4 linked regions of the Oreochromis niloticus genome follow. The protein of the gene in region 3 interacts with the protein of the main gene of each other region in a pairwise test. Links are inferred from orthologs where the notes say so. Each region holds a gene or a part of one and is shown on either strand. Other genes may lie near its edges.

What was found.
Region 1: the proteins of tnika (region 3) and akap9 interact in a two-hybrid assay, tested with the Homo sapiens proteins (2 studies listed by BioGRID and IntAct). The link is inferred for Oreochromis niloticus from reciprocal best matches to the Homo sapiens genes TNIK and AKAP9.
Region 2: the proteins of tnika (region 3) and golga4 interact in a two-hybrid assay, tested with the Homo sapiens proteins (2 studies listed by BioGRID and IntAct). The link is inferred for Oreochromis niloticus from reciprocal best matches to the Homo sapiens genes TNIK and GOLGA4.
Region 4: the proteins of tnika (region 3) and clu interact in a two-hybrid assay, tested with the Homo sapiens proteins (2 studies listed by BioGRID and IntAct). The link is inferred for Oreochromis niloticus from reciprocal best matches to the Homo sapiens genes TNIK and CLU.

The regions. Positions count from the first base shown.
Region 1 is NC_031985.2:17,966,266-17,974,204, forward strand, and holds the start of akap9 (A-kinase anchor protein 9), read right to left. Parts: upstream 3,001-7,939; 5' UTR 2,799-3,000; coding exon 2,751-2,798; intron 1-2,750. UniProt on the Homo sapiens protein: Scaffolding protein that assembles several protein kinases and phosphatases on the centrosome and Golgi apparatus. Required to maintain the integrity of the Golgi apparatus. Required for microtubule nucleation at the cis-side of the Golgi apparatus.
Region 2 is NC_031978.2:21,684,899-21,692,359, forward strand, and holds the start of golga4 (golgin subfamily A member 4), read left to right. Parts: upstream 1-4,451; 5' UTR 4,452-4,622; coding exon 4,623-4,700; intron 4,701-5,884; coding exon 5,885-5,959; intron 5,960-7,394; coding exon 7,395-7,461. UniProt on the Homo sapiens protein: Involved in vesicular trafficking at the Golgi apparatus level. May play a role in delivery of transport vesicles containing GPI-linked proteins from the trans-Golgi network through its interaction with MACF1. Involved in endosome-to-Golgi trafficking.
Region 3 is NC_031983.2:19,800,170-19,807,051, reverse strand, and holds the start of tnika (TRAF2 and NCK interacting kinase a), read left to right. Parts: upstream 1-3,878; 5' UTR 3,879-4,242; coding exon 4,243-4,299; intron 4,300-6,882. UniProt on the Homo sapiens protein: Serine/threonine kinase that acts as an essential activator of the Wnt signaling pathway. Recruited to promoters of Wnt target genes and required to activate their expression. May act by phosphorylating TCF4/TCF7L2.
Region 4 is NC_031980.2:16,613,831-16,621,604, reverse strand, and holds the start of clu (clusterin), read right to left. Parts: upstream 3,019-7,774; 5' UTR 2,882-3,018; intron 1-2,881.

The sequences.
Region 1 (7,939 bases), on a different chromosome or scaffold from region 3:
GTGATTCTTCATTCTGCAGAAAGAGCCTGAGGTTGCACAGCTGCACAGTTGAGACATATCGGAGAAGCAGACAAACAAATACACATAGAATCCTTTACGAATTATGAGCATCCCCTGAGCCAAATTAAACACCACCATAGTGGCTGCCCCCTGAGCCAATCAGTATAAATCTGAGCCTGCTCAAACAGCAAATATACTGACGCAGGTTATTCCCTGATGTTTCATTAAAAATCAGCTCTGTTCAATGTACTACTGATCCCAACGACCAGGGTGACAAACAACATGAAAAAGGTACTTTCATTCAGTGGAAACGCACACCTCTGTAAGAATAAAAAAGAAGATATAATAAGCTTCAATCTTAATTGGAGGGAAACAAACAAAGAAACTCTTCATCTGACAGATATATACAGACAGAAAATTTACCCACAACTACAAAGTGACATGACAGGTGACGTTTGGATCTGAAAATTGGGAGGGATTTAGAGAAAGTAAGTGTAGGAACAGGTGCCATATCTGAGTTCATGAGTTTCTTTGACCCAACAGAAAATCTGACACCACCCTGAGTACATTATTGCAGTCAGTGCTGAGTGTTTTTCATACAGGGAGCCTAAGAAGATGCTACTCATGTAACTGAAGAACTGAGTGAAAGTCTTGAATGAATAAATCCAGAATGCCAGTAACACGCTTGTCAGTGTGCTCCATTTTGTAGGCAAACATGAACAAAGCATCTGCACACAACAGCCTGAAACAAAAGCCTGGCAACACTGGCCCACAATATTCACTTTGCTTATTGTCTGGTGTGACTCAATAGGCACTCGCCTGCTACGAGCTACACAATAGATGACAGACAGTTTACCCTTCACTCAGATATCAACATCAACTTCTCCTTCACCTGATTTCAGAAATGCATCTTTGAAGTCATTCTTGTTAAGATTTATTACTAAAAATCCTATTTTTCAGGAGGAAATACATGACAAAACAAATATTTTTTTATAAAGTGAGGAAGCCAGAAGACAATGCAAACACTCCCCACAGCTTATGGACTGACTCAGCCCTGGAAGTCCCTGTTAAACATTATGTCATGAGATTTCTTCACTGCGTGAGGACACTGTGATTTGGCACTGTGTGAAAGAAACCAGCCTGCACCACAGAGGGGCCTTTTTATAAACCAAAATACCAAAGTCATAACCCGGGAGACGGTCTCCCCTGCAGTGCAAAAACCAGAGAGCTCAAGCAATTTAAAAACCAGCATGCTGAATGTTTCTCTGCAGCATCTGGATGGAAAGAGGCTGGATTTCCCTTTGTGAGACTGCCTGATTTAAGCAGTTTTGACACTTTCTGACTCGACAATTTAGTTCGTAGAGACTCATTCTCATTAGGGCTCTCCTGGAGTAAAAGAGAAGACGTAATCAAACCTCAGGATCCCATTTCCCACAGTAGAAAGAAAACAAAAAATAAATAGATATATAAACACATTACCTATGTACAAAGATTGCAGATACAATCTCTTTACAAGATTTTGTAAGTTTGTGCTGCACGGTAATATTTTTAGAAATACACAAGTGCTTCACTTTATAAACATTTGGTCTCAATCTAATGGCTCAGGCTGATGTTTCTGTCTTAAAATTTGCAACTTAAAATAACTCCAGTCAAATAAGTACCGACACTCCTCCCAAAGCTTTCCACAGCTTCAACATCCATAACAACTGGCATACACCATGAAATCTAACACTGGACCCACATCTGAACCTTGAGAGCAGGATCATGAAAACTAGACAGGCAACATTGCAAATAAAGATTTTCCTTAAATATTATTAAGATTGTTAAGAAGCCTCTGCATCAACTAAAGTCTCATTTATATATATGCTTTTGCATCCAGACAGCTGAGGAAAGAATGTATAAGAATGCAACATTCAGGGCTATACTGCAACACTCAACTGTGCATATGCTTTATCTAATTGTCCACATGCTTGCAGCATGACACTGGTGTATTCATGATATGAAAGAAAGATGGTGGCTCACCACAGGCTGGTCTGACCAGCTTGTAATTATGTTGCTAAGATCTCTTTGCAAACATCTTTTTTGATAAAACACATCCCCCACAAGATGTTTGGGTTATACAGGCTATAAAAATAGATAACAGAGCTCCTGCAGTGTCATCCACAAGCACCACGAGCCAAAACTGAAAGAGGAGTGAGCACTGTGTCAATGTCGATTAATATAAACATTGATCCAGTTTGTGGATGCTATCGTTTCTAGAAGACAGCTAATAAAGCACAAGTTTGGCATGTGAGGCAATGCTGGTTCTAGCCAGTGGGGTTATGTCCTGTAAATCCTGTTACACCAGCCTGTCAGTCAGTGTCACTTCAGGTGGCGTTTATAAATCCCGGGTAGCAATGTGGCGTCTGGTCTTAACACTGCGTGCGCACACCTGCACATCGGTTTCGGTAAAGTAAAAGGAAACACTTTAGTAAGTGCAGACATGCAGCATGACAAAGGAGACTAGCAGCGGCTATGCTAACCACCCCCACCCCGCCCGCCCCATGCCCGGCTGTCAGAGCGAAGCAGGGCGCATGTTTGCGGAGCCCGACAGCTGATAGCGTAAAATGAAAGGGAGGGGGGGTGAGGCGAAAAGCGTCTGACAGACCCCGGCCGCGAGAAAACAAGTTGTCGACAGCATTAAGTCGCTACTTCAGAGTAATGAGAGCAGTGTCAGTGAGTTGTGCTAGCACCAAAACTGAGAATCATACCTTTGCTTTGCCGGCCTCCAGCTTCTTTTGCCTCTCCTCGTCTTCCATCCCCGCAGTCCCTGTGGCTAAACAAACAGAGAAACTGCCTCATGCGAAGTATCCGCGAGAGAAATTTAAAAGCTAACAGCTAAATGTCCCTCTCTCTCTCTGACTCGTGGCTCGCTCCCAGAGACTTCCACTGGTATTAACTAGCTGTCTCCTTGTTGGTAGTCCGCCGCCATGTTTTCCACGTAAACATGAGACCCAGTAATGATGACGTAGTGTAGGTGCCTTCACAGCCACGCCCACTGGCAGCCCAACGGTGGTGCGTTCACGCTCAGTCAGAAATACCGTCCCCAACATGATCGTCGTTTTTTTTTACCACTTCAAATTTCTATATATTATGTTATATTGTTACTATTTCTGGTGTATTCTTAGCCATATCTCTCTTTAAAAAGTCATTTTTATTTTCAGTGGGACTTTTACACCTGTATAAGTAAAAGATATATAAAAGTAACGTTATGAAAAAGTGACCACAACTCCCAAATAGTGTCAGGAATGTTGGACAGATTATAGGCCATCAAGTCACTCAGAGCAGGCAAATACAGGAAATCAAATTTTGGCAAGCGATCACTTTTTCGTATGACCACACAGTACTAGAAAAAGTTTTTTAAATACTTTAATTCATTTATAAAAAAAATAAAGTTAAAAAATTACATTTCGATATATATATTGTCATTAAAAAGTCTGTTGTCTGATGACCAGAATCTGTTATTTATTGCAAACCTCCACCTACTGAAAAAGGAAAGTGTTTTCTTACTCAAGTTCTCACATGGTTGTTGCTGAATTGTCTCCCAGAAACTTGTTTTTAGGTGAGGTGGGAATACCAAATTCAACTTCCAGCTAATTAATTCGAAAAAATTCTTTCACTGTCAAGCTCTGATTCTGACTTTGAGTAAAAGAAGCAATGACATGACAATTAATTCAGCACAGTTTTAGTATATATCTAAACAACAACAACAAAATAATAATTAAAAGTAAAAGTATAACCCTGTATCCAAAAACAGCGGATAGATTTAATCTAACTAATTTTAACCACTGTGTATCCTGTTCTCGGGCATGCCCCGCTAATGCCTTTGGACCAGAGTACTGTAAAGCTTAATGATGCCCAGTGGATGAGAGCATATTAAGTATTTCAATGTAATGCTACATTCTGCTTCTACTTTACCATATTTTCTTTGCAAATACTGTAGTTTGCACTCATACAGTGACATACAAATCAGTGAATCAGAAATTATGATCCAGTATATACATGATTCTGAAAAGTGATATTCAATATAATAAGTACATTTACTTTAGACACTAAGTATATTATGATTTAATAACTTGTTCACCATGAAACCACATAAGCCTTTAATATAAATTTTACTTTTTAGCCCATTTTTTTTTCACTTTGTGAAACAATTATCAAGCATGTTCAAACCGGTTTCACTCCCTGCCACTTGAAATACTCCTAATCCTATTGGGTAGCTTTAAATTTGTCTTCTATAAATATATCTTGACTGATAAAGTAATGGAGGCAAATGCCAGATGCTATCAAAATAAAATACATGTCTCTCCATTTGTACCCACATAAGTATCTCACTAAAATGCATTTAGTTGGCGTCTACCATTGAGGGTGGTGATGAAACACTTGCTGACTGCTTTAAATCCAAACACACCACATTTCTCCATAATTTATGATTCTCTTTTTTTCTCTGTCTTTGTGGTTTGAAAGATATTTGTGAATTTGTAGAGCCATTACAGAAAAGAGGGCTGAATTTCTCACAATGTAAAAGATTATTTAATGCAAAAATAATACATTTAGTGCTAATTATTAATAATCCCGTCACTATATTTGACTACAATCCCATAAATTTCCCTTCATTCTCTGCAGTCTGAAGTCTGCTTGTAAAGTCTGCTCAGTTTCTATGGTAACAGGCGAGGAGGAGAGGTTGCCAGAGCTGTCCCAGTTGAGAGTTTTCTTTTTTAAACACAGAATATTTTCATATCAAAGATGTTTGCTGCTAATAAAGGCTCCAGCCGTCACCTCACATTCTCCAGCATGGCGTTTGAATGGGCTGCATCACCAAGAATGCTGCCATATGTTAAAGAGGAAGCACGTGAGCTGTCCCAGCTGAATGGTGCTGCAGGTAATATGAGAGACTGGCATCGGTTTCTAGGACAGATGGGGACGATTAAAACAAATGGACAGGCAATATTTTACTCACAGCCTCCATGTGGGATTGATCTTCAGTCTTAAAATAGTATATATTTAATTAAAGTAGCATATTCTTGGCAAACTAAGGGCCTTTTATCTTTCCTGTCATTTTCTCCCAAATAAGTCAGTGATAATATAAACTTTATGGCTTGATCGTTAGATGAACTAATCTTGTTGCTTTAAAGTTTTTATTTGATCACCAGTGAGCTAATAGGGGATATGGGCAGTAATTCAGAGGGGTCTTTGCTGGGATTTTAGAAATCTGGAGATTATTTGTTACACATTTGCTTAAACGCCATATTTCCCCAGGGCATGCCTCAAACTGCAAATGTAAGACTAACAAATTTTAACCAGTTTTAATATTTCATATTCTTTGATTATTTCCTTACACTGTTACATTTTATTTCAATTTCCCTGAGATTAAATTCCAGGTGGACCAACATTTATTCCCTTTTTATTTGCAGGCCAGTCCAGTCTTAAACCAATATCCTACCTAAGCGTTTTGCCTCAGTTTCACTCGAAGATTTCTTGTTCTAACATCCAGGTTAAAATATTCTTGTAGAATTATAAAATATTAAACTTTTCCTTATACTTCCAGAAACATACCAGTAGTAGCAGTAGCAGCAGCAGCAGCAGCGGGAGAAGATGCTCTGTGTCTTCGGCTGACGGGGGCTGAACAGCTTATCGTCTGGCAGATTTTGAATTCCACCCATCTTCTTTTGGACATTCTCACCAGCCTGATCTCACCTGTGAAAGCTCGCTGTTTGAGCACCAGCGTCTGCAGGAACTTTTGAAAGTTTCGCCAGTCTCTGAATTATTGATTCACTCAGGGAGTATACAGAGTCTACAATTACCCAAGTGACTTTACCAAGACAAGCTCAACAAATGAACAGCATGCATGCTATATTTATAAGTCAGAGGGTGGTGAATAAAGGCTGTTAGAATTAAAATGATAGAAACATCTATATACTGAAAAGTAAAATAAAACCACTTTGAACCATTTTTCTTATAACACTTTAAATACACATGGTGGACAAAAGATTAAAAGCACCATTCAGCTGAGACTTATAACACTTTAAATACACATGGTGGACAAAAGATTAAAAGCAACCTTAACTAATGTAGATTATCATCACATCCAGTGCTGCGGCTCTTTTAAATTAAAGTGTATTTATAGCCCAGAAGTGTCATATAGTTTCACCTCCTGAGATCCTCATATGATTACATTTTTTTTTTAATGCTTTTCTTCATCCTTATACTTCATTCTGCTCAAAGTATTCTATATTTTATTACACAATTGAGACTTTATTGTGTTATGCTTCATAAACCCAATATGTAAAAATGAGGACATGGTTGCAAAAACAAGCTAAATCATGGCCTATCCGCCACCGTGCTTGACAGTAGGTGGTGTGCTGACATGCTGTACTTACCTTTCTCCAAACATGGTGTTGTGCATTATGGCCATGAATCTCCACTTTGGTCTTTTTAGAGAGAAGAGGCTTTCTTCTGGCAGTCCATCCAAACAAGCCATACTTGTTAGAGATTAGCAGCACTGGGCTGCCACTTGCCCACTTAATTCCTATGGAAACAGTAAGGGTATACTAGCTGAAATTCCTCTTCAGTGTTGTAAGCGACTGATAAAGTCCTGTGAAAGCTTCACATGACTGTTTGTATTACCAAAACATGTATGATCTATTTCTATGTTTAAGAAATCTTGGCTTCTTGTAATCTCTTATGAGGCCAAATAACTTTTATGGGGGCTAAAAAAATACATGTCACACTCCAGTAGGTTTAGTTAAGTGCAACAAGAAAGCTGGAAGCTCAGCAACATGTGGGAATGTCTCTGTTTCAAATACAATAGCAGAGTAGATCAGATTGAACCACTCTTACCATTTATGGTGTGTTATAGCCTCTCTTTATCTTCTGTCATAGAGTATAAGTAATTAAAAGACAGACACAAAGACTATAAGGGTCCCTAAAATACTTTGGATACGTTTAAGAAAATTTCAGGTGTGCAAATGCAAATGTAACTGTGACCTGTGGATGTGTGAGACAAATTTGAATCGAGACTCCAGCTGCCCAGCTGTTGCGATAGAGCTCACTTCAGTCTCAAAGCAGCAGAGCAATGTGTATTTGCATAATGACAATATCAGTGTCATGCATTAAAATATGCATAAGTGGGGGGACTCATCAGTAAAGAGACGCACTGGGTCAGTACGTTTCTCAGTGGCAGGCTGTGAACCATAACACATGGTAAATGTCCTTTTGTAGCTTGTACGAGAGCATCTGCTAGCTGAGACAGAATTAACTATTGATGCCTGTAACAACGGTCCAGTCCTCTATAATGCTGTGTTTTTATTATGTAATTGAAGCTTCCCAGGTTACTGAAAAATGTCATTACTCTCCGAGAGCTTCACTAGTGACTGAACACACTGTAATTTAGAATGTACAGTATGTGCAAAGCAGAAAAGCACTTATTCAGGGTCATCTCCATGGAGATGTCCTTTAAATTGTTTTTGAAAAATTCAGGTTTTCATCAAACTAAGAAAGGAAAAATTCTTGATGCACACAGACCATACATTTTTGAAGGTTAATTTTAATTAAACCACGTCTTTAAATTTGACTAGTGGTAAGCAAATGACTCAAAATGTAGAATACATTAATTTACACATCACTTATGTAGGATGTAGTGAATTAAAAATAATTAAAATTCAATAAAATGTTTGAAAATTGATATTGAACAATATTAATAGAAATGAGGGGAAACTGGGCAAATGGTTTTTCTAAAATCCCGCCTACCATCCTTACACAAACCATTCACAACATTAAGACGTCATCTGTGTAATATTGTGTGGATCGTCCTAAAAGCTCTGATGTTTTGGGGAATTAACATTGAACTACTGGGTATCCTGTGCTTTCTGGTCCTGTGGACTGTGAGGTGGGACACCTG
Region 2 (7,461 bases), on a different chromosome or scaffold from region 3:
TTCCACTGAAATATATGAAATTTGGTTAAATAAATTGAATACCAGCCTCTTTCACTGAGCACTCACTCAGACAGATGGATGACAGCAGCTGGTAAGTCAGTAAACAAGCAAGAGTACAATAAATACTCTGTTTTAGGCTTTTTTAATTGATGTGGTAGTGTCACTTTTCTGAAAGTGAGGCTCTGTGTCATTTTAGCACACTCTGTTATTGTTCGCTCCCAGGACAGTTAATAAGCCATCTTTTCAGGCTCCAGTTAATCATCACGGGCTGTCCAATAAGACTGACAGAGCTGCAGTGTCTCTCACTATTCTTCCCACACAAAACCTTGTCCTGCGCTAAGAAAGGTGGGTGTGTTGCCATGCAGGGGTAGCTCCATCTTGTGGATCCAACCTTCGCTAAAGCAAAACAAATACAATGAAGAAAACTGAGGGATCCCTTCTCAGAATTCCCATTCACATATTCACAATCAAGTCTGTGCATGTGTATAAATGGGATCGTTATTATAACATGAATAAATATAAGTCTGTGTAAAATGTTTAAATGCATATAATCGTAGAACACTCACAAAATAAGAGCTTTTTAATATTTTTTTAGGTTATTAGTGCAGATTTTGGCACCTGCCTTTTAATACACCTTCATCGGGTCAACATCTCATGAAAAGGTTTGCAGATTTTCATGCATCGTTGGTCAGCCGGGCACAAAAACTGATGACTGTGCAATGCTTATCTTCATGCCAGTGACATGCACATGCCCAGAAACGGCTTTTGGAAAAGTCTCTCAAAGCTGGGACGCCTCCCTGCAACGTGAATCGTGGACACTAAACAGTCAGGTGATGACACCACGGGAGATGGAGTTGGTTGGTTAGTTGGTTGGTTACAGTTTTAACTCAACCTTTAAAAAAGGACTGATTATTTTAAAGCTAGAATTATCCATCCTTGCACTTAGTTACATATGCACAAGTGATTCTATCATTGTTTGACTAAAACAGTCATCATCTACTTCTTCTTGTAAATTTGTTTGTTTCTGTAAACGGAAATTGTCAAACAACAGTTTTTACACACAAACTCTGAGAAATAAGTCATGTGACACTGGCGGGTTGAATAACAATGATAATCATTTAGATTCTGGTGGGGATTTGATGTATTTTAAGACACCCGTTGCCTGATTTTACCCCTTGCAGAGCAAAGCAGTGGTTTACTAATTTTTCTACTTGGTGGATTTTTTTTGTTGTTGTTAAAAAAGAGAAGTGATGAGGAAAATATCAGAGTGGCATCAGAATCAGAGACTACATCAGCATGTCAAAAGAAAACCGTGTATTGCTGGGATTTGGTGTGAATTGTGAAAATGTATATTTGGGTGGGAGGTAGGAGGTGAACTCTATCAATTCTTAATCAGTGTGGATCCCTCCAGAGAAATAAGTATGTCTATGTGTAAGTCTGAGGTAAGTTTGGGCCCATATACATTTACATTTGAGCACATTTCAACTTTTTTACAGTCGCCTGCATTGTTAAAGCCTGCCAGCTTCTAAAACTTTTAAACTTATGCCATGGCAAAATATATTCTCATGCTATAACCTTGTACCTCTACCATCTCTTGGAAGTTTACATTAGAGTTATAAAGCTCATAATGCTACTCTTACAGATTTTCAAGCACTAAGTCTGCTCAGCGTTTCTGTAAAGTCACGGTGATTCTCATTGTTCACCAGTGCTGCCAGAAGCTTACGTTTTTTATTGGATGCCGTAACTCCACAGGGGATTTTTAGTATTCCTCTTCTCATAAATCTTTTCTCTAAGGCCACTGTGTCATCTGCAGTGAATCTGAGGCGTGCCCTCTTCCCCTACAGGCCGTGCATGGCTTTACTTCCAGCTAAAAGGTGATATTCCTATAAAATGTGTCTATAACCATTTCCATTTTATCACCTCCTCTTATTTTCAGAGATAAATGGTTTTTATTGTTTTGGAAGATTTATATGATAAGGGCATGTTACATGTCAGATCATCTCTGGAGCCCATCAAAAAGAAATTTCTCCCTTAAACATCACTTTATTTAAACAGCTTTTTAAAGTCAAAGGGGATAAAATTGTACATTAAATCACCAGAGATTGTCTTTTTCCCTCTATAGCGTTCAGGTAAATGTTATACTGTTGCCCTACACTTATCAACAGTCATAACAGCGAGGAGCTGACATTTAACCAAAGGGTAAAATTTGTAGTTTTTTGTCACAGCCTTGTAGGAGAGTTTTCTTTTTGCCTTAAGCGATTCTAGAAATGCAAACATGTGGTCCAAATCAAAATTGCTAGCAGACCTGCAACAGCCAGACTTCTTATTTTGAGTTCATGTGCTCTCTGCCGCACGCCTTGGGGTAAGGCATTAGCCACCACACGAAACAGAGGAACAGAGGAGCTGCATCTCTGCGTTAACCACCCACCGTTCTAGTCACCCGTCGTAGATCAAAAGCCCCGCCGAGTCGTAAGCATTAGAGTAAGAATGCAGAAAAAATGCAAATCACAGCCACATTTTCATTTTAGTCTTTTGGATCTAAAACAACATGAATTCCATTTTTTCTCCAGCAGACAGCAAAGTCTGACTCAGAAGCTTTTTTTTTCTTCAGGTATTTGCACAAGGCTGGTTCCCAACAGACGGAAAACGCCACATATTTAAACCATGACTCACGCCTACGGTGAGACTTTTTTCTAGCAGGTTCACTGTCTGTTACAGTTTACATTACCCAAGACATTATGACTCAGATTAAGAGCAAACATACAGTGTCTTTTTTAGATATGCATCATTTTAAGATTAATACCAACCCCAGAAGAAGAGTGACCTAATCAGAGATCATCATATAAATAATAAATTTGAGCTGTTGTTCATCTGTTTGTGTTGCTCACTGTATGCCTCTCGTGTGCCTTGTTCCAATTGGGAAGACAGATTCTAACCTGGAGGCTATTAGTTGTAAATCATGTTGATCTCAGAATAGGTTTATATAAAATAAATACTTTAAATTTTATGAATTTAAAACACTGGTAGCATTTTGTGGGTGTCATGTTTGTCTGTGTTATTGAAGGCATTCAACTTTGAAAAGACTGCTACAGAAAACTCATTTCAGCTCAATGCCGCTGCCACACCGACAAAAGAACCGCTGTGTTAGAGGTCATCCTCTGGCAATTGTACGGACCTCTGTGCTCGGTTCAGCAGCACTGCACTGGTAAAACTGGCTCTGCTTCAGCTGCTGCAGCACAAAGACATTAATTACAACACAAGAAGCTGCTAAGTTGGCAACAGCGTGTAATGCTCCAGCTTTCCCCCGCTGTGACATTCACTTTTAGGTATGCTGCCAAAGATTAAAGGGAAAGTAATTAAACTTCTCCTAGCAGAGACAAAATACTACCAGCCGGAAAACCTGATAGCACATACAGGACGAAACCTTATGTAAGTCTTGTTAGTTGTGTTTTCAACTGGCCTGAAGGAAAATCACAGTAAAACATGCTTAAAGAGTGCCCTCTTGAGTCCAAACTGTGATTTTTGTATTTATCTGCACCTTTTGACAGGTTACAGCTTTTTAGATAGTAATCTTAAGAATAGCCAGCGTGTCTCTGCCCTGAACCCAGACTGGGAGCTGCTTTCACAGAAGAGGAGCCTGATAGCAGAAGACACTGTCTCCCATTGGAAATTTCAGGACCCACAACTAAACCTGCAATCTTGGAGTGAAGAGTAGGGCATGCAATGAGGTCTATTAGATCTTTAAACCAAGGACCATGTATGTGAGGAGAAGGATTTTAAATTTAACTCTAGATTTAACAGGGAGCTCAAGAAGAGACTTAGGAAAATGGATTTCACTTTCTACTTTTTGTTAATACTTCATCCATTCGTCCATTCTCTTCCGCTTGGTCGTGGGGTGGCTGAAGCCTATCCCAGCTGTCATAGCGTGAGAGGCAGGGTACACCCTGGACAGATCGCCAGTCTATCATTAAAAAAAGAAATTCAGATAAAGATGTTTCCCATCTGTTTTCCTCATACAAAGATCTTTAAATTCATTCATGCATATTTTTCATTCAGTGTTTTAAAGAAGTGATGCAAAATACCACATCCACAAATGCAAATTCAGTGTTTCTAAAATGTTTTTTTTCTGTTTTTAAGAATGAGTTTGTGAGTTTGACATTGCAAGACTGAGTTTAGTGCATGTATCTTGGAATGTAATTTTTAAAATACGGCCTTATTTGTTTGTTTGTTTTTATCCCTCTTTGTGAGGATTCCTTGTGTTGTGTTTTTGTTTGTTTGTTTGTTTTTTGCTGTTTTGTATGTGCTTCTGTATACCACATGTGTTAAAGTGTCTTCACGTTCCAAATGTCTTAATAAATAGGCTGTAATATATCCCAAACACGCTGCTATCTAAGGGGGCGCTGTAGCTAACTCAGCCCAGACGGGCCCTTTAAGTCTGACGTTTCAGATTTCCTCCACGTTGGCCGCACATGCGCGGATAGGCTTACCACCTGCAGAAAATTAGAAGCGAACAAGGAAGTCTGCCCCTGAGTACTGGATGATAGGCTGGATAAAAACAAAAAACCTCTCCGCCGGAAAGTAGACACCCGGTCACCAGTTGCTTCGTATATCGGCGTGACAAGATGTTTAAAAAACTCAAGCAGAAGATAAACGAGGAGCAGTCTCCGCAGAGGAATGCGCAGTCACCTCAGCAGGCCCAGGTTAGTTGTTGTGGTGCTCGGAGCTAACTAGCTAAGTTAACGTCTGTTTATACTGCAAAGGCTTCACGGTTTGGAAGTGGTTGTCTAGTTATGTCTCATTAAGATAACTCAAGATGACAGCTTAATAAGCTAACTTGAATTGTCAGTTTGTCCTTTTACTGTCTTGGAAACATTAGCACCGTGCTAAGTCCTTAAGTTAGCAGCTTAACTTGGCTGTCAGCGGTTGGACCAACTGGAACTGGTAAATCCCGTTGTCCGAGTAGAAGAAAAAGTCTCACTTCTTACAGCTAATCATCAACTTGTTTGTAGCCAAAATGCCAGCCCGCATTTTTATACTCGCCAGTGACAACATGGGCGTGTCTGAGTTAATGCTTCTTGCATTGGCTGCCAGTGGATGTCAGCTGGAAGCTATATTTGACCCTTGCAAATCCTACTACTCCCAGGCGTCTCTATTAAAAACAATACAGAAGTAGCACACAGATTTCAAGTTGGAAGTTTGTCATTGGAAAAGTGCTAGAAAACTCATCAGATCCCTTGCTTTCCTCTTCTGTGAAAAAAAATGCGAATTGTTCTTTGAAATATGAAGCTGCAAGTTTCTTTAAGCTCTCCTAAATATATGTGAAGGAGTGAAGGTATGTGTCATAGTTTGGAGGTCCATCATAGTTCAGTTCCAAGTTAATGTAGATGTTTTCGCTGTATTTCTCTGTTTGCCTTACATGCAAAAGATCCCCAGTTCAGTTCTGGGAGGAGATCCAAACCCAGCCTCAGGGGCTCACAAGCTAGGGCTTATTCCCTATCCAGATAAATGACAGGGCTGCATCTGGCATAAAATATGCAGATCCAGCAAACCTTTGGAAGATGGATAGATAAATTTCCTTGTTCTAATTGGCTTGGTTCTTATGCAGATTGGCTGTTTTTGAGGAACAAATTTACATTTGTTATTCAGAGCTTGTGTGCAGTTTATGATTCCCATTGACTTTCTGTAAAACCACAATCTTAGACTGAGTTTGGCTCAAAGGTGAAGGCGTACAAAAGGTGAAATCCAGTAACAAGAGAACTTACACCCAGCAAGCATCTGTATTAAAGTTTGATTTATTGCCAGGCAACAAAATCAATATTATTGTTATGACTATGTTTTTTTATTATAATTACTTCTTTTTCCTTATTACTTATTTATTTTACAGATCAGCAGTGGAGAGCGACGTAGCAGCCAAACTCCCCCATTTAGTGATGGCACACCTTCTCCCAGTGACAGAGAGGTGAGCATGGTGTCAGCCTGTGATTCATATCTTTATTTATATATGTATACTTGTGTTCAGACCACAGCCTGCAGAGGTTTCCAAGTCCCTCCCCAGCTTACATTCTAATGATTGTTTCTCTTAGGCTTTAAAAATGTGCTTTGTATGCTTTGTTTAAGCGTACTGTCTGCTTTATAACATACAAGTCCCTTTTTGATTGAAAGTGAACAAGTGAACATTTAGTGCTATTGGTTTTCAGAGTCTTCTGGTTGTCACTAGCAAACTTCTTTGATCCAATTATTTAAAATAATCCAACAATCTAGACATATTGAACCCTGGACTCCTTAACATATTGCAGTGGATACAATAGCCAACACCAGATGGGAACATATGAGCCAGACTTGCAGTGTGGTCATTAATGTTGCAGAGCAGTCACCACTTGGATTCCATTCGTACGGTATTTTAAGTGTCTGAAGTCACTTATTATTATTATCATTAGTATTATTATTATTATTGTTATTACATTTTTAAGAGACCCTGTTCAAACAACTGAGCAGCTTCTTCTTTAGAGACAATGGAAAGGGCGTTTTAATGGTGTAGAGCAGACAGTGTTTCAGCATGTCTATGAATAATTGATGTATCCTCCTCAGTGTTTTTTGTGTCTCCTGTGACTAGTTGCAATATTATGCCTCAATAGATACTGACAAGTCAATTCAATGCAGGACTATGCTCCATTAGAAAGAGGTAGATAAGCGTAGGTTTAATGGCAGTGACTCTACAACTGATGATGCAAAATGTTGTTATTACATCTGTTGAGATTAGATATGGATGTTTACAGTCTTCGTTGTTTTTCAGATAAAACAATATCTTAATCACTCTTTCCTTCATTTCAACACTGCAGAACGCTCACTGGAGTAGTGGCACCGTCTCTTTTGGTCAGGTTTCTATGCACTGCTCTCCCCACTTGTGCCTTTGGAAGCACACATGTGTTGCTGTTATGTGGCTCGGCAGCCTCAGTGTAGAAGCTTCGTGTAGCATCACAGCATCTTTACTTCACCTCACGAATCATTAACACTTTGACATCTCTGAAAGCATTTGTTTCATGACTGAAGGCAGATTTAGCCCTTGGTTAAAATTGTGAAGATTACATGAGGAGATGTGAAACTGTTACTCATAACATTACTGTTGATTGAGTGCTTGACTTTTCAGTTTTTCTGATTTTTTTTTTCTTTTTCTTCCAGCTTATGTAGTGTATCTCCCTCTGTTTCAATCTCTGCTTTCTCTTTTTTATTCATCTCAGTCTTTCTCTCTCTCTCTCCGCCAGCCTCCTCTCATCAGGCTGGTCAGCCACTCCCTTCAGGGCTTTTTCACACTCATGCTGTTGTTTTTCTCATTGCTCTCTGTGTTCCTCTCCTTTCCCCACCTTTCGTCCCGTTACTGCACTGATGGGGGTCAGGTGCTGGCCGGGATGATAGCAGAGCCTGCTTTTCTCTCTGAGTATACTATCTTTGCTCTGGACCATT
Region 3 (6,882 bases):
GTGCTGCTTTTGATAAATTATTTAAATTTACAAGCATGTAATCTCAGAGGTGTTTTGAAGATTTTGTTTGTGTAAGAAATTGAAGATATGCTTGCTCTTTGCTTTGTTTCCAACTGCACAGAAACAATGTTACCGTTTCGAGAGCAGTGCACAATTTACTAACTATGCTGAAGTCTGATTGCCATGATGCTTGTACCAATCGCACCTCTGAGAAAAAAAAAACAAAACCTCATCACTGACATTTTATTTGTTGTTGAAGATGTTTTGTGACCTGGTAAAATGATTCGAGTGGCTTTTTAAGACAATCGGCGTGTCCATTTAGAAGAGAAATTTCTTCTTTGTTCAGCAGATGGTGCTAGCTTCCTAAAAATCAGTTGCAAAATTAGAAAATAAGATCTCAAGGATCTTTAAGGTCCTCTTGGTAAGTAAAAATGGATTTTGAACATTGTAACAAAAACAAACAGCAAAACTACAGCAATTATGTTTGTCATTAAGCATGCAGATGAAGCTGGATGTAAAGCTTTCGTATGAAGTCAGGCTTTGAAATTGCTTTGTTCCAGTTTCTGTGTAGTTCCAGATTGAAAACAGCATTTCAAAGACTTTATTTTTTTGTTTTTATTGTAATGTAACAGTTCAGAGTAAAATGACCTTTTCTCGAGATACTTGCGATAGGTGATCCACGAGCAGTTTATATATTTTGTAAATGTGAAAATATTGACTCGTGTTACCCAGTTTGTTTTCATTTTTAATATTTTCCACGTTGTCTTATTTGAGCATCACCATCCCCTAAATGTGAAGATAAATAACCACTTCTTTAGAAACTAATCACATAGTCGGTTAATTATGACACATTGGAATCACAAGGTATTTAACAAATCAACCACATAATTACTTTGACCTGGCATAGAGCTCCAGTTTTGTCATGTAAAGGCAGCACCCTTTGTTTACCCAGTGTGTGAATCATTGCCATTTATGTAAGAGAAAATGACTGGGACCACAACATTGGCAGATGTAAAATCAAGTGCTTCTATTTGAAAATTATTTCTCTTTGTTAGTAAAATGATAAAAAAAAACTTTTACATTTTAAACTGTTTTGAATTTGACATTATTGTCTGCTATGTTTATTATTTATGGAGTTTAAAGAATTGAGCATTCTTTAACATTTATTTTTAAATGTATGTCACGTTCACATGGATGATTTTGGACTCGTTTTCTTTTTCATAGCCACCTTGAAGCTGTTCTTTCTGTAAACTCTCTGGACCTCTTGCCTTCATTCAGTTAATGTACAATAACCTTTTTGTACAGTTAAAAGATTTCCGATATCTATCTGTTCATTTGAAACTATGTAATTAAAATGACTAACAAATACGCATATCTTTGAACTTTTTGTTTCCTTTTTACGTGAAAATAGGCACATCTATGAAACTTGATCATTTCTAAGATATATGGCTTGACAGACCAGCTTCAATAATAGGCTCCTGCATAATAATTTCTTATAATGCCTGTGTGACTACATTCCCATCTCTAGTACACGTCAATATGAGTAAAGCAACGGCTCTCGCTCCAACTGTGAAAAAACAGGTAGGTTGTTGCATGAGAAATAAGAACTGTTGAACCTGTTAACCCCCAGAAAACAGCTTCTGCATGGTCGAAGAATGTGAGCAAACATGTATTTCTTTTCTCATGAAACAGTGAAATCAGCAGCAGTTGCAATATGGAAAATAAATCAATATGTTTCATTAACTTTGAAAACAAAAGTTGGGTGCAAAAGCTAGGCTGGAGGACATCTTCAGTTATTTGGGAATATAGTAGGAAAGTCTATACTGTTGTATAAAAGACCCACTGTTTATGAACCAAACATTAAAATGTATATGGAGAATTACAAATTGCTGAACATATATAGTGGAAAGTGGTGAATAATATGCTAAACGATTGTTTTTTTTCTATTGTGAAAAATCACAGGGGCGTTGGCCAGTTGTGTATGTGTGCAATCAGCTCTGCTATAGCAAAAGAAGTACTAACAAACCAATTTGTTGGTTATGCCCATAAGGAGCATAAAAGAAATAGAAAAACAAAGGCTTAATTTTTATGTTTTTCCATTTGAAGGCAGTTGAGTACAGAACGCTCCTCCCTTCTCTCGAAAATGACACTCCATAAAACTCAGGAGGCCTGATTCAGTAGAATGTCGTTGGCTGCATGTTATGGCATGTGAGATGGCCTAGTTGCTTGCTGGTTTAGAAACATTGACACATAAGGATATAAAGCGACCTGATCGGAAATTCAGTTTATTTGTCATTAAGAATTCTCATAAGCATGTGACACAGGTTTTGTGAAGTCATGCATGGCAGTACTCCAAAATGTGACAAGAAAAGCCAAAACAAAAAAACCTCTGATCTGCTTGAATGTTTAAATTCTCTTCAAAAAAAAAAAAAAAAATCAGTTTGAAATAAATGGTGTAAAGCCAAAAACACACAGCTGGAAAATAATTAATTTTCAATTTTCTCTTCCTGAAAAGAGCTCCCTTTCTCTTTCCTTGTTCCTTGTTCGTATTTTTGTTTGGACTTTATGGAAAAAAAAATTCACCTCAAAGCTAAACATACCTTCCTTAGAAAGCTCTTCAGAAAAGGGTATGATGAAAACCACTGAAAAGGAAGTTCCTTTCACAGGTATGTCAGTGTGGAATTTTGTGTTTTGATGTCTTGATGTTTCCATCTGTTTTCTACTGGCATGCTTTTGCTTGCTTTGCCTAGTACTAATAATATTAAACTACACTGACTGAATTTGGATGGAAGTCAATGCTATTTTTACAATGTACTGTAACGTAAATACTTGGAAACTTTTTTCCTCCACACTCAACTCACTCATGAAATATGCGAGAACATCTTATGTTGCTGGTTTGGTTAATGATGATAAACAAAATCCAAGGTTCTTGTTTGACAGAATCAGCAGACTCCTGTGGGACAACCTCGCTTAGCCTCTATCAGGTCGACTGATAACTGCTGAAAACACATTTTTATAAGCGTTCCCTTAATTTCCCCCTTTGCTTTGGGCTATACTTTATAACTATTTGTATGTATGGAAGTGTGTATGTTGGAATGAATGTCTGACCGTACTGTTGATTTAATGTCCATTAATGTGTCTGTATGTTTGAACAGGCATACTTAACTTTAATCTGTGGCTTCTATTGACACTGTGAAGCACTTTGTAGAAAAGTACTATACAAATAAAATTATTATTATTGTTATTATTTTATCAGTAGTAGTAGTATTGTTGTTGTTGTCGTTTTTTTAAAATAATTGATTAATAAATAAATCATTTACTGTGTTTTTCTTGTCTCTTGCTTGCCCTCAGACAAATTCAGGGGAACCTAGAGTTGGATCCAGAGACCAGAGAGGTTTCGTCTTGTCTTTGGTGGAATGAGAATGTTATTCGTTGTTTATCATGTTTCCACAGATTTATGAAAATGCTTCAGGCTCCTAAGTGTAACGGGAAAGGGGTTGCAAGGTAACAGGAAACCTGATAAACAGACACCAGTTCAGTTGCCTTGTGTGTTTACATTTGATGGATTCAATAATTATCTGTGTTTGTGTGTGTGTTGGGCCAGGTTACATTTTTTGTGATTAAAATATACCGATTTTCCTGAAAAAAATGAATAAATAAAGAAAATACACATAGTGTTCTATTTAATCAAAAGTACACAGGGAAATATAAGCAACAATCAGAAAGTATTTCTTCAGTCAGTTTCTTTTGTTTTGTACAAGGACATTGCTATTAAACACGAGGAAGAAAAAAGTTTGGAAGTCCTCGCTGCCTCAGTAAACCCCGCCCGGTAACAGGCGTGGTTTGCTGAGGGAAAGCGGCTCCCACCTCCCTCCTTCTCTATATTTACTGGCTGGCTGTCACAGCAGCTTCTGTACCAGAAACAAATCAGTCTCCGTATTGCTTCACCTTACTCTGTATGGTCTACATCCCGCAGACATGGACTTCCAAGTGTTGATGTACACGGTGCTATCGCTTTCTATCCTCCACGCGTTTGCGCTCTAGCTGTGCGCTCCAGGCCCGAGGAGCGTCCAGCTGCTGACGAGAAAGGGACTGATATTATTTTGTCATCCATTGACACATCACTGTGCAAGAGAGAGGGGGGATAGTAGACCTAGCAGCAGAAGAGACCACACAGTCGTGACAGCTAAGACCGTTTCTGGATATCGGACAACAGACAGTGGCTTTTTTGTGTCCTCCATCATGGCGAGTGACTCTCCAGCACGGAGTCTGGACGAAATCGACCTATCTACTTTGAGAGTAAGATTAATTTACGTTTAATTTCTGTTAAAGAAAAAAAGAGAAAAAGAGTGTGTGTGCGTGTCTGTGTGTAAGAAAATTGATGTGTGCGCTCGCGCGTTCCTCCTTCTCTTGCACCTGACAGTGCTCCCTGAATAACAACCGGCACAGAGCAGAGGAGGCTGCAAAAGGCGGATGTGTGGGAGACGGGCCGCCACAGTGTGTCAAATTATAGATCAAATTATATATAGACATTAACCAACATTACAGCTGGCTTGCACATCTGAAGGCTTATCTTCATTCAAGTCAGTTACCGGAAGGTCGGTGTTGTGTGTGATGCTGAATTAAGGTTGAGGCTGTGATTTTGCTGACCTGGATAGGGGGTGTTGTGTATCTTCTTTCAGTGGGCCAGCCTATTATAGCCTCATCAGAATTGATTCAGAGTGGAATTTAACCTATTTCTACCACACACTGCTGATTCTCGTGGCTTGTGTATTGTAAGAACAGGACAGAAACTGCTTTTAAGTCAAACTCATATCTATCCAGATTTTTTTCTCTCTTGCTGTTCTTCATGGTATTTACTCAGTGTGTGTGTGTGTGTGTGTGTGTACATGTGTGTGTGTGTGTGTGTGTGCAAGAGAGAGAGGCAAGCGTGCCAACCTACCTGTAGTCACTGTAACCTACTCAAAGTCACAACTGAAGCCTTGCATGCTGCAATAGCCAGTTCTTTTGTTCATCCAGTATGTGCTGTAAACCATAATACACACACACACACACACACACACACACACACACACACACACGTGCACACAAACAGACAGGCATACACAAACAGCCTGTGTTTATGTGTGGAGACCCATATTTTCACTTCATTGGGCAGTACGTGTGTTTCTAATGTGTAGGTGTCTGCCAAGCTGATAGTCAACTGCATAAAGCAGTAAGGGATGCTTCAGCTAAAGACCCGTTTGCCGCTTTGAGAAACAAAACCACATCCCTCTTGCTTTGTCTCTCTCACACAGCGCAGTTGTCGTCTGTTTGTGCCCACATGCCATTTTTGTCTCCAGTTCTGTCTTTGCTGGTCTCTTTCTTGCTTCATGGTTTCTTGCCTATTTGTTTCTGCTTCACTAACACCAACTCATCCATCTACCTCCATTCCGTTTCTTTTCTATCAATTTCATCACCTGTTTTTCTATCACCTTGTCTATCTGACTGACTGAATGTACCTCCCTGTCTCTCTGCCAGTCGTTCTGTCTCCTAGCATTATGTCTCTGCGCCCACGTCCTTGCACTGCTTGAAAGAAGAATAATATTTCCAAGGAATTGTGAATCAAGTGTTTAGGAAAATAAGTGCTACTTTTTAGGTTTACGCCTAGCAAAATTTCATCAGCGGGACGAGCTCTATTAAAGACAGAATGGAAAGAGAAATCTGAAAGAAGAAGAGGAGTAGAATAAAACAGACAGAGAAACACTGAAAGAGGAATGAGGAGGCGAGTGGGAGTTCAGCCATGGATGCCTTATTCTTTAGGAGGCAGGATTTCAAGTGTCTGTCACTGTGACTTAGAGGCAGCTTACAAGGACGTGCAAACACATCCAGATGCTCATGTTTGCCTTTACATAGAAGTGCATTTAGGAGTATGGGAATATATAATTATGTCAAATGATTACTACTATCTTAAAAGTAGTGATGAGTTCACAACACTAAGAGCCTTAAAGGTTTTAGGCAAGACCAGTAGGTTAGTTCAAACTTTCATTAGCCTCAAAGCTAAGATTCTATTATTATTGTTATTATTATTTTATTTTATTTATTTTTTTCCTATGTTAGATATTTCATTTGATGAAGTGGTACAGCTCTAAAAAAAGTTTTCATATTTTTCATAAAAATAGTGCTTGAGTCAAAAGATGGAAGTGGAAAAAATAGAAGAGAAAAAATAGAATAGAGATTTCCTACCACCATAATGCTACATTAGGGGAAGCCAGAACCTTTATTTTAATATTTTTCCCCCAAACTATACTCCAGCTATTTCCTTTGTAATATTATGTTGTGAATGTCTTTTGTGATTTCCTCCGTAACTAAGTTACACAACCTGAACAACATGTTCTACAAGCTGAAATAAACAATGATTTCCAGAGAAGTCTTAAACAAACCAAGGTTTGTCCATTCAACATGTACGAACAATACCTATCTTCCCGAGCAATACACACGCGCGCACACACACACACATAGACAGACACACACATGGTCTAAGATGAATTTACAGTCATCCACTGCTGGACTGGCTAGACAGGAAGTAGGTCAGCTGGCTCTGACGAGGTGGGTAGGGTTGAGTGGGGGCTTATAAATACTGGGCTTGGTGATGATGGTGGGGCATTGTGTTTTAAAGTCTATATGAGTGTATGGTTGGGGGGGGTGGGGGGCTGTTCCAGGGCTAGAGCTTCCTTATAGGCACAATGACCATCACACAGACACACACACTCATAAGAGACAGACAGAATTGAGTGGGAAGTAAAGTGGAAAGAGAAGTGGCTTTTCATGTTTGCTGCCTCTGCACTTTTTCCTCTCTTGCTTTGTTTTCATATGCCTTGTCAGGTCTCTGCAACATCTGCT
Region 4 (7,774 bases), on a different chromosome or scaffold from region 3:
ATGCAGCAGTCTAGCTGAACTTTGCTGATTCACTGAGTTTTTCTTGAGCCTTCTGGAGATTAGTCTTTATCAGGATTAGCTCAGTGTTTAACCATAACCAAAATTACACACTTGTGTCAACCATTAGATAATGCGCGTTCTTACTTGACACAAAACATAACAGAAAGCAAAAAAATCTACTTAGAAGACTTTTTTTTAAGGATTTTTTGTTTTGTTTGCAGAACTTGGCGCACACAGTGGAAAGGCTGCCCACTTCTATGGTGATTAAACCGGACGTAGCTTTTGCTGTGGATCAAATTTGGCAGAATTACGACTAAGAATTTTTCAAGACTCTTACGAAACCATTCACGCTGATTTAGAGTTTTGATTGAGCAAAAGGGTAGCTACGCAGATGTTTTCAGGCTTAAAGAGCTAAGTGATCGCATAAAAAGCAGATATTGTTTAATATGAAAGTATGCTGAAAACATTTAAGGAAGGATTCGTTGGTTTCCAAAAATCAGGAAAATCACTGATGTAGAGGACAGCCAAGGTCTTCCACAAGATTTGTGAATGGGCAAATCTGTCATGTTGAGACAAGATAGACATCTTTTTCTTTTTTCTAAACTGCTGAAAATGAGATTCACACAAAGATGCATTTACACCTGTAGTTCTGTTCTTAATGAAATTGTCTGCATGCAGACACATTGCAAGCTCCAGGTACTTCAGGTGAAGCAAAGCATTTGCACACCCAGTATAAAAGCACAGGTCTTAGGAGTGTCTTGCTCATCTTCTACAGTGTGTTTTTGTTTGCAGTCGTTCGCCCACAATCTCCTCCTGTTTCTATGGAAACAAGCAGAGTACAGTATGCATACAAATCTGCTGCAACACCCCAAAACGGTCAAGAACTTTTGCATTGTTTGGTAGTTGATCTGTTTATATTTCCTGATCCCTTTATTTATTCAACCCTGTCCTACTGAATGTATTCAATCATCCCACTGAAAGAGGGCCATTCATTCCCATGACTCTGCATGGGTTCAGTCAAATAAGAATATTTAAGATGACCTGCAGATCAGCTTACACACCCTTCCCCAGAATCAGTATGAAAACTTTGCTATCTTCGGAAACTTTTTGGGTCTCCTTGCACTATATGGTCAAAATGCCCATACCGAATTAATAATTACTAATCAGAAAAGGTTTATGCCATCTTAAAATAGTTTAAATTGAGATTTTTTGTGTCCATTGTCTGTGTTCTTGTTACAGTACACAGTATAGTCTTAAATCAGCGCTGATGTAACCTTCCTGGATATTTTTTTCAGTCATGTCATCAGCTGTTCTAAATTCAGCAGGGCTGGACTGGACGTCCACCTATTTCCAATCCAGCCTTTTGTAATGAGAGAAAAAAATAACGAGTAAGCCCCGACGTTCAGTGAGGGGAAAGAATGAGCAATGCTGAAATGAAAAGCACAGACAAAGCCACAGAAAATTAAACAGCAAAAACAGTGAGAGAGAGAGAGATGGAGATAAAGTTAGGCAAATAAAAAGTATTAACAATGCGCGGGCCCAGTTGTGTTATTTGCTGAACAACAGCTGCAAGGATCCTGGTTACACAACTGAAATACCAACACTCCTCCTCTCCAGATGTTCTTCTAGAAAGTTCAGCATTAGCAGTATGATATCAACATTTGCTCATTCTCCCACACATCACCTTTATTTTCTGAAAGTATTTATTTACCGTTGTAAATATTTTATTTGACACTATTAAAAGACATTTAGTACTGAGAAATGAAGAAGAATTTTGTTCATTTTTAAGGCAAACCTCTGCCACTTTAAGCATCGGGAACACAACAAATTTGTTTGTCTGATGTTGTAGTTTATGTTTATAAAATCAGAAAAATACAAAATATCTTGCTAATTTTGTTTTTTGTATTTTGTTATTGTAACATTTATCTCATACAGATTACACTTTATACTCTAAAATAGCTTACATTACCATAACTTTGTATTTATGACGTTGTTGCCCTGCAGTATACTGCTGCACAGCTATTCGCACATTTCACTTATAAAGTTTAATATTTTGCAATGATTTAATGAAATTTCTTTCATTTTATTCTACAATTTCTTTATTAAACTTGTCGTTTATTCTGCAAAAGTGTAACAATGACAGTGAAATTACCCAGGTATTTCTAAAATATCTTGCCTGATAGATTTGCTCCTTTTGCTTCTGGTGCCCCATTAATGACTTTCCTGGTGCTTAAATAAGAAGAAAAAAATGGACTAATCTGTCAAAAATGGGACACTGGCCTCATTATTTAAAGTGTTTGGGGACTTCTTCACCCATAGGACTTAACTGTCCTATAGGCATGAAGGAATCAGGGCTATTTCTATTTCTAAACCAGAAAATGTAACAATAATAATAAAGATCCAGCAATGCTTTAATAGTGCAACATTTTAAAAGCTGCAAACATGCATGTGATTTATAATTTAGCTTCATGTTTTTATTATTATTTATGCACCAAGCACTGCGTAAAATGCTGAAGCGTGTTATTGAAGTAAACCACAGCAGGACGTCATCCTCCCTAATCCAGTTGTTTTGATCCAGAGATGGAGGTCACACCCATGAGTAAGCAATTTAAACAGCAATCACCTTCAGTCAGCACGACCGCATGAAAGGGAATAACACGACATGCTTTAATTATTAAGTTAAAAGTGATTTTTACAGTCTGACGTTTTATCTGCAAAACCTGCAAAATGCAAACGAGGTCTGTTCTGCTTTGTTTAAATATGTTATAGCTTATATAAAACTGTAACCACCACAATCTGCACACAAAAACACTTGTTGTTTTTCTTTTTCTTTTTCTGTGAGCATCGCCGACCTGCAAAAAGCAAAGCTCCTCTGACTCACCTCTGTCTGTTTCCTGAGACTCCAGCTCGTCTGAAGCTGCCCCAGGCTCGCTGCTGCTCTTATTTATACCAGCGGATAACGGGGACGGTGCAGACATGTGATTCACTGACCAAGCATGCTGCTGCCGCCGCATCCAGCTCTCAAAAGTACCGCAATGTGAACACCAACTTCCTGCGTTACGCTTCAAAATAAACATTTAGAAAACAAAACGAAAATATTTTCATGCAAATTGCTAAGTTTCAGTTTAGGAATCGCAGTTCAGTAATTCTACTTACCTCTTGTAAATTTTTAACAACAAATATGGATAGACTTGCCAAACGTCTTTTCTTTCTTTTAAAAACGGAATCATCTGAATAAGTCTGAACTGTGCCCGACAGAAACCTCCAAAACTTGATGATTAAGATCATGTAATAACACTACAAAATATAAAAGCACAACCATTCAGTAGTTAGCACTGACATCTGCTTTGCTGATTAGAAAAAAAAGGCAAAAAAGAACAAAATAATAAATAAATTATTGAACAGCAACAATAACAGAAAAGAACCACTGAAACAAACTGATATTTTAAGATGATGCATTTAGTAAAAAGATAATATTTTTGGGCTGTAACATGAAATTAATAACAAAAACTTTTCACATATATATAGACCTTCATATAATATGTATTTATGACATTTATTATTATTTTATAGTTTGATTAATACATTAAAATATCATTGATAATAGTAACCTAAAACTAATACAACAGCAATAACAATATTAGACTCCTACACCTTTAACGTGGTACATCCCAGAATGAATGAGGGCCCTAAAATAAAATAAAAATCAGGCCAGTTAATTATGTTGAGTTTTTTGTGTGTAAAATACCTTTTTTGTAAGATGTAACACACATGCTCCTATCAAGATAGTCTTCAATTAATATTTTATAACTGATTATATGTTATTGTGTTCACTAAAGCGCTATTTAAATTGAATTCAGATTCATTCATCAATTTGATGTACTTTTCTTCCCCACATGCTTCTTCCACAAATTACGGAAAGCAGACTTTTATTTTGATATAAATAATTGTTTCCTGTCATGGTTGCCTTCAATTGTTTCTGGCTTGACATCAGTGAGAAGACTTTTCCAGAAGTTTTTTGTCATTTATTGGCACCTCTCAGAGGTGGTGAGCAGACACAGAAACATTTGACGCATCCTGACAGTGACTCAACATTTAAAATGTTTCTTTATCGGCATTTTACCAAACCACACTGGAAAAACACTGTTTCATAACAACCAACAATATACTGCCTGCAATAAACTACTGAGGATGTAAGCTTCCTAATGGATATACTATTATATAAGTATAAATAGAAAAGTACACAATGTAATATTTGGGTTAAATTAGTTTGCTGTATCATTGTATATACAGTGTTTGTGTTTAGTCATAATCACATGATTCTTCTGCAGTACTTTCTCTGCAACAGATGCAGTTCAAAAGGATTTACACTGTTTAAAGAAACAGGATTCTTGATGTCTAATAAGAATGAATGAGGAATGAATGAATTCAGAAAAAAAGAACATTTGTGCTGTTCCCTTTGCTTGAGATCTGCTGTAAATATATGATGTGGTTGATCTTGCTGAATGAATTCGGGCTGATTTGAAAAGACTTGAAAAGCTTTGTTTATTTCTATAAGACAGGAAATACTAGTGTTGAAGTTAAGAGTGTGGGAAATACTGAAAAAAATGTTACCGGGGGTTGTTGTTTTATTTTTTAAAGCTTCACTTAACACAAAGACCCAACAAGGCTGGAGTTGGCTCCTGTTTTGCTGATGAGAGCGAGTTTTCAGATAAATTCAAGGACTAAGTGTTATCTTAAAAATAGATAATTCTGAAAAACAAAAGCTCCCAAAACTGAAACACAGAGCTGCATGTATTTGCTGATGTTTTGCACTTGCGTGTTTGTCCCAAGAGAGCAATGTCATCCAAACTCCAGTTAAAAAAACTCAGAGGTCACCGAGATTGTTTTGACAATAGTCATTCTGCACCTGCTTTCCATAAGTGTGAGAGGGATTATGGGAATTTTAAACATATGACTCAGGAGTGTAGGAAAGTTAAAACAGAAGAATACGCTCATGAATGCACATCAAATACAAATGCAGTTCCAGTCCAAGTGTCTTTAAACACAATTAATCCTCCTAACAAACAACTTACAAGGGCTTGTGTTGTCTCAGGGCACCGATGTTCCAGTAAATCTCATGGACACGCACAAAGACACACAAACACAGCGGGTAAAACACAAATTCTTTTGTTGTGCGTCAGCTTCAGTCGTGTCTCTGCCGAGCTGTGATCGGCAGTGTTAGTTAGATGTTAGTCTTTAAACAGCTCTGCAGCTTAAGTTGTGTGGTTTAGATCAGTCTAACACAAGTACAGACTAACCTGTTGTCAGCCCACAGAGTTCGACACTCCTTAGTGAAGTTGTTCATAGAGGCATCCGCGTCCTCTTAGAGTCACAGTAGTTGAGTGGGTTGATCAAACTGGTGTTAAGCTCTTTGGTCAGGCAGGAGTTGTAGTTGGAAAAATACAACTGTATGTAACTAAAATTCATTAATTACATTAAACAAAACAGCAATAAACACACAGTATACTAAGTTCCCATGTTTGTTTGTGAAAGTGTAAAAGTGTAAAAGTAAAGTTGCTACACTAGGTGGCACAAACTCCATTCTAATAAGGTCTCCTCCTCCCAGGACTTAAAGTTTGAAGACTTACAGTGAGGGTACTTGACTGGATTGTTTAATGCTTTCCAAACATCATTAGCACACTCGCGGTTACATTTCCAACTTAAAATATTTTACGTCTTGACGTTGAAATAATAGAAAAATTCAGATGACAACAATGATTTGGCATTTATTTATTTTTAACCTGTTTATATTAAATATAAACATGTTAAATAGTCTTATATTTAAGCCATTTAATCTGTGTAGTTACAAGCCAGAGCTGGTTATTACACAAATAGGCACACAATTCTACAACGCTACAAAAAATTGCCAGTGTTGGTTAACAGTTAATTGCATGTGTACTGTACTGTAGTGCCTTAAAATTTAGGAAACTATTTTAAAATATTTTGCTTAGAGGCACCTTTGTAGCCTTGGATTTGACTTCTATATGTGGTGTGTATCATTTGGTTTACAAATATAAATGGAAACATGAAATCTCAAGTCATACAGTAGTGGTATTATATAATAATAATATGGACAACAGCTCAGCTGCAGGATCTCACTGTATCTGGATTAATCACCAACATTGAACCCAAACATCTGTGTCAACATATTGAGTCAAATATGGTAGAAAATATTCTCCATGTTTCACGTGTGAGTTGACCATGACATTGAACAACAACATAGCAAAGCTTTAAAGGACGGTTGGGACCCAAAAGATGGCGCTCATGTGATGATTGTGACACAGTCACACTGTCCTCTTCTCTTTGTAGTCCTGGAGTTTTGTTGTTTTTACAAAACTCTCTGGAAGGTGTTTCATCAAATCGAGATGATGTTTTAATGGAGCAAATTGCCATCAGAAGACTGTGGAGGATGAGATTCTTGGAACATCTTGTGTTGTTCATTCTTGATGAGTTTCATCTCTTTTGAACTTACTCACGGCATAGAAACAGCACATCACACCGCTGTATTAAAAACAGCTTTTAATACATTTATATCAATATTAATGGGCAAGATGAGAGTATATTGACAGAAGAGCAGTTTTCACATAGCAGCGGCTCAGCATTTCAGCACGTACACACGCTCGAGATGACCTACTGAAGTTCAAACTGAGCATTAGAATTGGGTAAAAAGTTAATTTAAGAGTTTTGAAAGTGGCATGGTTCTTGGTGACAAATGCGCTGGTCTGAGTATTTTAACTCTGTCCAACTTGGTACTTGCAAGGTGTAGCTAATGAAGTGTTCTAAACTCTGTTGCAGGTGATGTATTCAGGGTAACACTTTCTTCTAGCTACCTTCCAGGGGTCACCACAGGGGCTCATTGGCCTCCACCTTACTCTCCCAGCACCATCTTCAAAATTCTTTGTCCAGTATTTCTTCCATCTTTCCTCTACACATGGATAAGCCACCTTAGCCTTGTCTCTCTAAATTTGTCTCCACACTATCCTATTGTTACTCCTGGTCATTCCCCCCCAAATCTTAGCACCTTCCTCCAGCTCTGCCTCCTGTCTTTTTGTCAGTACCACAATCTCCAAACTGTACGTCATCCCTTTACCAGTTCCTCCACTTACTGTCCTTCCTACCCATATTGTGCCCCCAGTGGCTGGTAAGACAAATATAGCAAGAAAATTAAACTCGGCTGTGCTTAAATTCTTTAAAGAAGTCCTTTGAAAGAACCAAAGCAAAGATTCGGCTCCTCTGAGTTGTGGGCTGACATTAGACAAGGCATGCAGGACATCTGCTGTATGTAACACAACAGTAAGAAAGCAATGACCTCACCCTTCCGAATTCCTGACAATGAGAGGTAACAGAGAGTGAAAGCGAGAGAAATACTATACCAGTGAAACATCATACTCAGGCATTCTGGGGAATGTGTTTTAAATTTACAATTTGTAATTTGTAATAGAAAACCAAGTCGGAAAGGTCGGGTGAATTTGTCATCTGCAACTCACATTAAGCCTTTTGGGCTACACATGACCTGCGTGATACTGGCTAATACTTGAACTTTCATCATTTCACCAACTGATTGGTGAACACATCCAGTGAAGCATTTAGCTTCCAGAGAAACATATATGTTACTCATTTTATGGTTTGTGTTGTGTTGCTTGAGCAACCATCTTTGTTTTGGTCAAAAAGTGCCCTGTAATTATTATTGCCACATGAGCTGATGAACACCAAAACAGAGGTAAAAGAAGAT